3 linked regions of the Arabidopsis thaliana genome follow. The protein of the gene in region 1 purifies or fractionates together with the protein of each later gene. This does not show direct contact. Each region holds a gene or a part of one and is shown on either strand. Other genes may lie near its edges.

What was found.
Region 2: the proteins of ALPHA-SNAP2 (region 1) and PLAT1 fractionate together in Arabidopsis thaliana (co-fractionation; one large-scale study listed by BioGRID). This does not show direct contact.
Region 3: the proteins of ALPHA-SNAP2 (region 1) and PLAT2 fractionate together in Arabidopsis thaliana (co-fractionation; one large-scale study listed by BioGRID). This does not show direct contact.

Annotation. Positions count from the first base shown.
Region 1 is NC_003074.8:20,846,559-20,850,317, forward strand, and holds the start of ALPHA-SNAP2 (alpha-soluble NSF attachment protein 2), read right to left. Parts: upstream 2,138-3,759; 5' UTR 1,799-2,137; coding exon 1,654-1,798; intron 1,202-1,653; coding exon 1,152-1,201; intron 1,066-1,151; coding exon 993-1,065; intron 898-992; coding exon 818-897; intron 587-817; coding exon 435-586; intron 205-434; coding exon 45-204; intron 1-44. Other genes in the region: AT3G56200 (Transmembrane amino acid transporter family protein), read left to right, coding at 3,529-3,759.
Region 2 is NC_003075.7:18,430,717-18,434,346, reverse strand, and holds PLAT1 (Lipase/lipooxygenase, PLAT/LH2 family protein), read right to left. Parts: upstream 1,689-3,630; 5' UTR 1,398-1,688; coding exon 1,329-1,397; intron 1,243-1,328; coding exon 766-1,242; 3' UTR 594-765; downstream 1-593. Other genes in the region: AT4G39720 (VQ motif-containing protein), read left to right, coding at 3,483-3,630. UniProt on the Arabidopsis thaliana protein: Positive regulator of abiotic stress tolerance involved in the regulation of plant growth. May be a downstream target of the abscisic acid (ABA) signaling pathway.
Region 3 is NC_003071.7:9,426,219-9,429,854, forward strand, and holds PLAT2 (Lipase/lipooxygenase, PLAT/LH2 family protein), read right to left. Parts: upstream 1,953-3,636; 5' UTR 1,525-1,952; coding exon 1,450-1,524; intron 1,269-1,449; coding exon 792-1,268; 3' UTR 578-791; downstream 1-577. Other genes in the region: AT2G22180 (hydroxyproline-rich glycoprotein family protein), read left to right, coding at 2,751-3,626. UniProt on the Arabidopsis thaliana protein: Involved in response to abiotic stress.

The sequences.
Region 1 (3,759 bases):
CAGAATGTTTATGTTACGGGTGTTTGTTGTGGAAGAAGAAGAACCTGATACTTCTCCAGAGCGTTAGTGATGGAAACAACATCGGCTTTGCATAAGTGGCACATGCCAGCAGTGAGAAGATGGCCCTTAACTCCATACTTGAGCAAGTTATTGTTGAGTGAATGGCGTGCTATGTCTTCATAAATCTTGATTGCCTTCTCATACCTACCAAAGATACAACAACAAGCCTATTATCAATCAATCGGTCCCAAAGTAGAGAAAAGGCTATAATTGCTGTGCTCATGCATACTGCATAGAGAACATCACAATTCCATACAATGACAAGTTTGTGGATTGACAATTCGATTTTAACAGGGTTCCATCTGAGTACTATAAGCACTTCAATGCTAAGGGATGAGAAAGCAAAAAGAAAGGTAATGTGCCGAAAATCTTACTGCTCCAGCTGGGCGGCATATTGCGCAACCTTTAGATTGCACTGGTTTGCAGAAGTGGTCACTTCTTCATTCTGAAAGAATTCAGCTGCCTTTTCAAAGTAAGCAATAGCCTGCTCGAACTTCTGATCAGATTCATAATACTCAGCAATTTCCTGTCAAAAGTAAAAAACCATTAATGTACAAATTAGTCCAAATACAGCAAGTCAGCACCATGCTTACTTTAGTTTAGAAAAGGAAAAAGACAATCTGAATCCGACTGAACATGCATAAAGAAACAGGAACCATGGAGGAAATACAGAAGAAGTGCCCCAATAAAACTATCTTCTCAGTATCCGTACTAAAAGAATAATATCTAATTCATGCTCAAAAGAGACAAGTGGTACCTTGTAATATCTTGCAGCCATGTTGAGCCTTCCTATCTCACAAAATATATTCACCGCTCGCTCTAGGCAAGACGCAGCCTCTGCATATAATATTAGGACGCATGAAAACACATAAGAATTCATAATCACTCTTGCATTACAGAGATGACAATTACAAAAGTAGCTTTATACATACCATTAGTGTCAACTTTCTTGTAGCATTTAGCAGCCTCAGCATAGGCGTTAGCAGCATCATGTTTGCTATCTGACTGCAGATGCAATCATGCAAATCAATGTTATCAAACAATCCACACATTAGTCCAGTATCATATATATGTGTTGCCAAAGAATTAACCTTTAAGTGACAGTCGGCAAGTTTTAGATAAGCTTTTCCAGCTTGATCCCCTGAACAATCACAAATGCAACACATAAGTAAGAAGATAGCGTTGGAGAATTAAACAAATATCAGAAAAGAACATGAAACCTATTAAACTCAGCCAAATAGAACCCAAATTAGGTACTATAATTGTGCCACTTATCAATGACTTGCTAGAAGGCCAGAAACCAATATCAAGGAATCAGAATGATGAATCTCCGATTTAAAATGTTTTCGTATGAAATTATCAACCATAAATTTCTTACAGATCAAAATAGACCTAATATAAACCCAGATACTAATTCTACTTCTCACATGACCATAGACAAATCACCGCAACTGATAAACCTAAGATCAAACGTTTCAAATTTCACCTTTTTTTTCTTCCTCATCATCACAAAGAACAACAATAAAAAAAAACACGACACCAATCCGATGAAACAATAATCAAAAGCAAAGAAATTTTATTTATGGAAATTACATGATTTGGCGAGCTTATAGGAATTAGCTGCTTTTTCGAGCAGATCAGCAGCATCCTCGTACTTAGATCCGAATATTCCCCATCCATTGAGCTTTTTCTCAGCTTTCTTCTCGAATTCCTCAGCTCTCACCAGATGATCCCCCATTCCTTTTTTTTCCCCGAAACTCTGACTTGAAATTTGATCGTGTACTTCTTTACCTCCACAGACTCCGATTGCTTCTCTTTTCTTCGTCGAGAGAAATTGCTTTCGATTTGGATTATTCGCTGCGATGAAAGAGAGAGAGACGAGAATCGATCGAGAGCGAAAAATCAGAGACACGCTTCGATAGGGGAAAAGATTTTTCAACCGACTAAAGTGGGCCAAATTTGTCTATTTAAAATATGGGCTTTGTTTTGAAAAGCCCAAGTTAGCCCAATCAAAAGTTTTTCCGTACTTTGTTATTGGGTCGCTTTAACCAAGCTTAGAAAATATGGGATCAGGTTTATCAGTTGGGATTGAAGAAAAGCTTACATGAATTATCAAGTAAAACGATTTCCTGTTATATCTGCTCGTCCTTCTACATTCTTCATTAGCCATTATTATAGTTCTCAAATCACGACAAATATTGCTGACAGTTTCCACTAAACAAACCTATGTTCCAAAATGCACAAACTGGTAAAAACCTAGTATGTTTTAATATCAAACACATGAGTAACAACAATATCGGTTTTAATATCAAACACATGAATAACAACAATGGCTAAATAACAACCGTTACAAATCTATGAAATGTTCAATTTTTTAGCAAATCATTTCATGGGTAATCGGTAATTTTTTTGTCTTTTGTGAGTTGCAGAGGTAATCTTCTGTTGTTGGGCTTCTCGACATGTTGAATGGTATTGGGCTTAGTGTCTTGGCCCATAGCATTCTGTTTGGGAGACTCTGAGCTGAGCAGAGAGTTTGACCCAAGCTCTGTTGTTGTTGACTGAAGCTTCTCCTTTACACACAGAGATGATCTAAAATAAACTGTAACTTTGCAACGAGGGATTTCTGCGGCAATATTAATGTTGCTATCAGTCACATTCTATAATGTTAACTGAGTAACTTCAATATGATTCATATGAAATGATTAAATAAAAATAACTTTAGAAGACAGTGTTTAATTATTCTTATATTGTTTCGTTTATCACGTTTTCAATTATTCATTCGACATTCCGCATTCGCTGCCCTCTCGTTTTCTTGATGAAAAGTCTCGAACCGTCTGCTCTAAAGTTAGTTTATTACACGTGAGCCATCTTTGAGGCCGCCAATGATATGATTATATATTGGATTTTATTATATCCACGAAAATTTTAAATTATTTAGGAGTTTTTTTCTTTTTTGGACAACTTATATGAGATGAGAAGCGATGATACACATTTGGCCACTTTTTCGTCTAGATACATTCTTCGTGAAGAAATCCAAGTGCACACATTCATTAGTGTTGGACGGACCCATTTTATTTTGGATTTTTTTGTATAATTCTTTGGGGTTTTTTTGTTAATAATTCACTTCTGTCTATAATATGATTATGATTGTTCATCATATTTTAGCTGTAATTTCCTCTCTTGAACAAAATTATTATTTTCGTGATGTTTTTAAGTACGTGACGAAAGATCATTTGGTGATCTCACTGACATGATTTGCCCAGCCTGTCAGGTTTACCTATGGTCAAATATCATTTTCTCGATTTTGCCCCAAACGGTCAAGGCATATATCCCCAATCTTCAAAGGGTATTTATGTACTTTTCGCTATTAACCGTGTGGCTATATGAAGCCGATTCCTCATAACAACTACAAAAAAGGAAAGCTTCTTCCCGCCGGCAAATTCTTACGTTTCTCCGGCGGTTAGAAAAATGACACCACAGATCAAAACTCATCTCTTGCCGAAGCAAGAACCTTCTTCGTCTGAGAACCATGGATCATCAACCTCCGGCATCGTTTTCAACGTGTCAACGAGTATAATCGGAGCCGGAATAATGTCGATGCCGGCGGCGTTTAAAGTTCTTGGAATAGTTCCAGCGTTTTTGATTATCACGATCATAGCTTGGCTTTCCACAATTTCCGTTGGATTTCTGATGAAATCA
Region 2 (3,630 bases), on another chromosome or scaffold:
TGGGTTAGAACTGTTTATTAAATTTCAGATGTGGGACTCAGTTTCATTTAAAACGTATTGGGCTTTTAAAATGGCGGCGAGAAGATATGATTATCGGCCATGTCGTAAGCCCAATATGTTATTCCAAATGGAATTTAACTTCTTAAATAAAATTTCAAAACAGTAATAGAAAATCATACCATAGGTATACAATTATCATATGTTGTTACAAAAACCAATTGACGTCCAAGAATATACTACCATATATTATTAATAGAATTCGTAACAAAAAAAAAAAAAAAATCACATTCTTTAAGAAGTGAGTGTTCCCATATTTCTCTACCAAGAGACGATTTGATTTTGACCCTACAAAAAGTATAGTAGATACAATGTGGACAATAAATCATATAAATATCAAAGAGTTAGTTCTCAATGAATACAGACGTGGCGTCATTTTTGGCCCAAGGGATTATTACTTGGTCCACTCAAATTTCTATTCCGCTTATTAATACCGACACCTATATGCATTCAATCAATTTTCATGTCCTAGTCTTCTCATTGATTGGTTTCACATTTACATAACCTGTGATTAATCTACTAAAGCAAATGATTCAACTAACCTGTGATTAATCTACTAAATCATTCACTAATCATGAGTTAAAATTCGCAAAATAACTAAAAAGGTTTTATTTTATTGAATCATATTTCATTAACGCCACATTACACTCACAAGAACAACGAGAATACAAACAATACAGACAAGTCTCACGAATCACAACACATCACTTAAACGACCCAAGAAAGCTTTTTCCGAATCTCAGACCCGACCCGACTAACACTATCCCTAAGCTTGACCGGACAATTGTTCCGTACGGCGGTGAGCTCATAAGGAGAAGTATCAGTAGCGAGCCATTGCTCAATCTCAAAATCCTGCGTCGAGCACTGTGCGTGAACACCAGCCGTCGTGATCTCAACGTAATTAACGTACCAACCATGGTGATCGCCGGAGCCATCGGAGGTTAGGTTTAAGGCACAGATCGGACTAGGTAAACACGGTGCTCTTCCACTGAAAATGTCGAGATTACCCCTCTCGAAGTAATTGTAATCAGGTCCCATTAATCCAGCCCAAGCTTGAAGGTTTTTGATTCCGATGTAGTCACCGTCCTTATCGTAGATTCTTGCGCTGATGATCGAATCGGTTCCGGCTTTCCAGATCGATCCGGTTCTGAGGTAGAATGTGTATACACAGTCTGGATCATCTTCCTAGATAAACAAACAGAAACTGAAAAAGTCAAATTATCGAAAAATCTAAATCTGATCGAGAGTGGTTAGAGATTGAGGAAGTTTACGGCGAAAGCTACGGCGGAGACGGTGGCGAGAAGGAGGAGGAAAGGGAGGAGAACATCGCGACGAGCCATTTTGTTTTTTTCCGGTGAACGATTTGTATTTTTTCTCTGATTTTTTTTCTGCAGAGGTGTATTAATAGATGCGAATATTATTTGAGGGAAGGGTTATTATTGGGAATTAACAATTGGGGTAATAATCACGTGTTATTCGGAGTAGCGTGTAATGTTGACGTGGCTGACTCTTATCTGTTGTGATGTGAGAATTGAGATGGATAATTTGAGAGGCTTGGCGATTACTCGGCGAGTCGGTATATGATGGGTTGGTAGATTTACGAAATTATCCTTTTAAGTCTCTCTCTCTCTGGCAGCTTACGGACCAAGAAAAATAGTCCACTGGATTGTATGAAATTTTCCTTATTAATGACTACGAAATTTTTGATGGTTTTGTCTATATTAAGAATAATTCAAATTTATATTGAGAATAAGTAATTCTTCCCATTTTTATTTGCTTATATATTTGCTGTCAGATTTTTATTATTTTATGGCCAGGTATAATTTATATTTGTAAAAACAAATTGTTACTTCTTCTCAGCATTTTCATTTTTAGACATCTTCTTCTCAAAAGTGTGTGGGCTTATAAATAACAAATACTAATTATATGGAGCCTTGGTATAGGTAAATATTGGGCATAAAGCGTAAGCCCATTGTTGCACAAAAAAGAAGAAGCGTAAGCCCATTTATATATTTATCTTGTTATAACAAAATGCACACGTAGCAAAAAAACTACATGCTGGAAATTTGATCAAACCCATAGCTTACTAAATTATAGAGAGTGATGATTCTTTAGTTTTTGATATCCTTGTGATCTTCAATACTAAAACTATGTAGACTTACATTATTTTGGTTAATTATATGATGATCATTGATCACCCGTAAAAAATTTTACTAACACGGCAATTTTTTTTTTATCAAACACTAACAAAACATTTAATAGTGATAATAGTTAATCGAATGTAGTGGTTGGTTTTACTAAATGTTTCTTTTTCTTATTTGCAATGCAATGATAATCAATTTCATACGAATTTACAAGTCAACTGAAATTTTGATATTTAGAAAAAAAACGAAAAAAACACAATTATAAATGAGTGTGGGTAACCAAACAAAACTAAGCCGTATGGGTAAAGTGATAATAGGGTTATGGCATTTTGGTTAATGGGCCCATAAATTTTGAATTTTCCTTGATAATTAATAGTATATTATATGATTGATTCTTATTTTCCGACCAAACCTAGTATCTCTATCAAAATATACACTCAAACCATTAATTTCCACTTGCAAATTAATCGGGTGAAATAAGTAGAAATGAGTATGTACATATCTTTGTTGCATCTTTTAAATTGGTGATTTCGAAATTATTCAATTGAAAAGAAAGATTAATCAGCTAAAAAACTTATCTTGGTGGAACTAGCTATATGATGACATCTAATAATTATGATATATATTATTGAATTTGGTCCGAATTAACTGACCTAATTATGTCATCATGTAAGAGATTAGTAGATTATTCAAATTATTCTATATCTTTAGAGAATAACGAGAGGAAGTTAAATGATTGTTTGTGCACACGGAAAATTAAAACTTGTTCTAACATTTTTATCGCATAATTGATTTTGATATGAATATACGCACAAATCACGAAGAAAAGTAAGTACCATTTATCAGGAAAAGTAAAAGTAATACCATCATAAGATTTGTAAACGTAACATCCTGCAGTGGTAGAGAAACAAAACAAAGCATTAGCCGAACCAAATATCTACAATCAAAGTGAATTTTGACTATCACCAAAAGGAATAAATCTAATATAAACTAAACCTTAGATACATGTATATAATATTGGGATATAGAGTAGACAATAGTGGATGGTGGTAGTGGAACCACTTAATGCGATTTCACCTTCCCTGTTTTTCTCCCTTTCACACAAAAACAAAACAAAATTATTAAAAAATCATGTCACACCAAATGTCTTATTTACCATGATACCCTATCTCATAAACTCCTTAAACAAACAATAGCTCCCTAAACTCAAGTATCCATTCTCACCTCTAAATCAATTTCTTACGTTTTCTCTCGTCAAAGTCTTTTTTTCTTTGTCACGAGATGGAGTCCGGTAATAGTAGTAGCATGCAATCTTCAAGCGGCGGTGGCGGAGGAGGAGAAGAAGAATACGATTCACGCGCCGCAGATCAATCCATTTCCGCCTTCTTCGACCACCACAACAACCACGTGTCATCTATACCCACGCCGC
Region 3 (3,636 bases), on another chromosome or scaffold:
CGAAGTCTTTGTAAATAAATATTATACAATCAGTAATTATCTTTTAAAGGCATATTGTCTATTTATTTTATGTCTAGCTTGTATATTGCTTTGTGGTTCTATAGATTATGTGTGCAGGGATGATCTTTTTCAATTTTCATTGAGGAACTTATTGCTCACACCTTCTTTTATAGATTTAAAAGACGATTAGGAGCATAGTGAGATTTATATGGTGCCTTAGGAGGAATTTTAAAGTCATTCATTTGATAATGGTTTTCAGTTATTAGTATGACCCAAAGAAATGTTCCGTTTCAACCAAATGTCACTTAATTAGGAGGTTTAGGCCAATACCAATTAATGTCGTTGATGTTTCTTACAAAATTGTAAGTTTCTTGTTGACTTTTTGAACATGCACAAAAATGATTAAAATTGTGAAGATCCACTCTGTATTAAATGTTTAAAATTACATCGAAAAATGTGAAAAGGGCCCATCTTTTATACTATTTGGCAAAGTTTTGATTAATCATAAGGTTGTAGCTTTGAACGTTTATTTGTGAAAATAAAACGAAACAAAGAAACTATATCAACCAGTAATTATCTTTTTTTCTTTTTAATATGATCAGTAATTATCTTTTAATTTCATCACACGAAAAACTTAATAATGTTTGATAAAAATCTCACAAACAACAAAGAACGGAACTTTTATTCGATCGAATCATTTTCATTATTGCCATCACACGTTCACAAGACAACAAAGAACAACTCTCCAAGTTACACACACACATACACATTTGACATTTCATTCACTACTCTCACACGATCCAAGAGAGAGTCTTCCGGATCTCAGACCCGACCCGACCGACACTTTCCCTAAGCGAAACTGGACAGTTATTCCGAACAGCACTGAGCTCATACGGCGATGTATCGGACGCAAGCCATTGCTCAACATCAAAGCTTTGGTACGAGCACTTTGCATGAACTCCGGCTGTCGTGACTTCCACGTAGTTAACATACCAACCGTGGTGGTCACCGGAGCCGTCAGAGGTCAGATTTAATGAACAGACTGGGCTCGGAAGACATGGTGCTTTCCCACTGAAAATGTCGAGATTACCCCTCTCGTAGTAGTTGTAACCTGGTCCCATTAAACCACCCCATGCTTCTAGGTTTCGGATCCCGATGTAGTCTCCGTATTTGTCGTAGACTCTAGCGCTTATGATCGAATCTGTACCGGCTTTGAAGGTTGATCCGGTTCTAAGGAAGAATGTGTAGACACAATCTGCTTCATCGTCCTGTGAAATCAAGAAAGTCATTTTTTTAAATGGGAAGAAACAGAAGTTTGTAGTCTAATAGTTTAAACTAATGTCATTGATGTTGTGTCATTATATACATATTCAAATCTGGTTAATGTGTGTGTCTAGTTCTAGACAAAATCATATATGAGAGGAAGCAAGTCAGATTTGGAAAACTTACGGCTAATGCGACAGCGGAGACGGTGGCGATGACGAGGAGGAGTGAGAGGAAGAGGACGTCACGGCGAGGCATCATCGGTGATATGGATGTATAAGAAAGAGAGATCTAGTCTATGGAAATATTAATAGAAATGTTGAAAATGCTAAAGTATATGAGAGTTTAGATTTCAATGATTTAATTATCGTCTGTTTTGGGAGTTGCGTATGAAGATGACGTGGTCGTTTTTGGTCCGTTGGAATGAGTAAGAAATAAGAATAAAAATACTTAAGGATCCTATAAGCACGTCGTTAACTCGGCGGACAGGTCGGCATGGGTTGTCAGATTTCGAAAAAAATTGCATATTTTTTTTTGTCACAAACGCAAATCTTCGTGAGATACAATACAAATGCACTTCATTTTTCGCCAATTAGAATGTAATGTAACAGTTTCCAGTGTAATGCTCGCAACATAACATGTTTCACGTGGATTGGGGCCGGGGAAGAATTAGAGAAACATTAATTTTTGTTTTTGCTTTTTGAAAGAAAACTTTCGACCATATGAAGGTAAGATTTCCTTTAATTTCCTTGATATTTTCATGTACATATGTTTGATTTATAAATGAAAATTAAGTGATTGTGTGTTTTTCAAAGAAAGAAAAATGAAATAAATTTTGGATAGTATTGTCAGCGAAGCAGCAACAAGGCCCACAAACATAATTTTGAATGGCCGGTTGCTGCGGATTAATGTGTGTAAATACATACATTCCGTTCATGTCAATCCCAACGTATATTCGTATATATGCATTTTTCGCTTTCTAAAGAAACAGAAGTTGCAAGAGAATTGAAATAAAAAACACTTTAATGAAAATTTGGTCCAGAAATACCACCCAAAAATGGTTTTAGTTCGAAACGTACAAAATAAAATAAGACTCGTTCATGATAAACATTACCAATATGTGCTAACCTTTTTAAGATTTTACTCATGTATGTCTTATATGCATATATAATTTATGTTAGAAAATCGATATCTTGTAAACAAAAAGTAACAACTTCGTTGATCATCATCAAATGCCATAATACTATATTATATGAGTTCTGTAATATAGTTTTCTAAATAACAGAAAAAGGGAAATTTAAGGTGAGCTGGCTAACTCTAAATAGCAAAATCTTCTCAAAACCAACCAAAAGTTTGAGTCATGCAACAACAACCACTTACTTTTCCCATGCAAACCCTAATTTTCGCATCCTCTCTTAATTCTCTCTCTTTCGTCTTCTCTGTAGACCAATCTCCACCACACATCTCGTAACTCCCACCTTTCTCCGATGGAGGGGCCACGGCGTCCTCCTTCCGCCACCGCCCCTGACTCTGACGATGACAAACCCGATGATCCTCCGTCCGTTTGGCACCGTCCAACCTCTAGCCTCCCCGCATTGCCATCTTTAGATCCTCCATCGCACGGTTCACACCATTGGCGTAATCATTCTCTTAATCTGTCTCCACTCCCAACGACATCTTCTCCGCCTCTTCCTCCTCCGGATTCAATCCCTGAGTTAGAGACGTACGTTGTCCAAGTCCCGAGAGATCAAGTCTATTGGACCCCTCCTCCGGAACATGCAAAATACGTCGAGAAACGCAGCAAGAACCCGGAGAAAAACAAAAAGAAAGGGTGTTCTAAACGTCTTTTGTGGTTCTTCATTATCTTGGTCATTTTCGGATTCTTACTCGGTGCAATCATTCTCATCCTCCATTTCGCTTTCAACCCCACTCTTCCTGTTTTCGCGGTCGAGAGATTGACCGTAAATCCTAGTAATTTTGAGGTCACATTAAGAGCCGAGAATCCAACGTCTAACATGGGAGTACGCTACATGATGGAAAAGAACGGGGTCGTTTCCTTAACGTACAAGAATAAGAGCCTGGGGAGCGGGAAATTTCCGGGGTTGTCCCAGGCCGCATCTGGATCCGACAAGGTCAATGTGAAGCTTAATGGGTCGACCAAGAACGCAGTTGTACAACCTCGTGGATCGAAGCAACCGGTTGTTCTGATGCTGAATATGGAGCTGAAGGCTGAGTATGAAGCAGGGCCGGTCAAACGGAACAAGGAAGTGGTGGTGACTTGTGATGTTAAGGTTAAGGGACTATTAGATGCGAAGAAGGTTGAGATTGTGTCGGAGAATTGTGAGAGTGAGTTCAAGAACTGACACTCGCTCT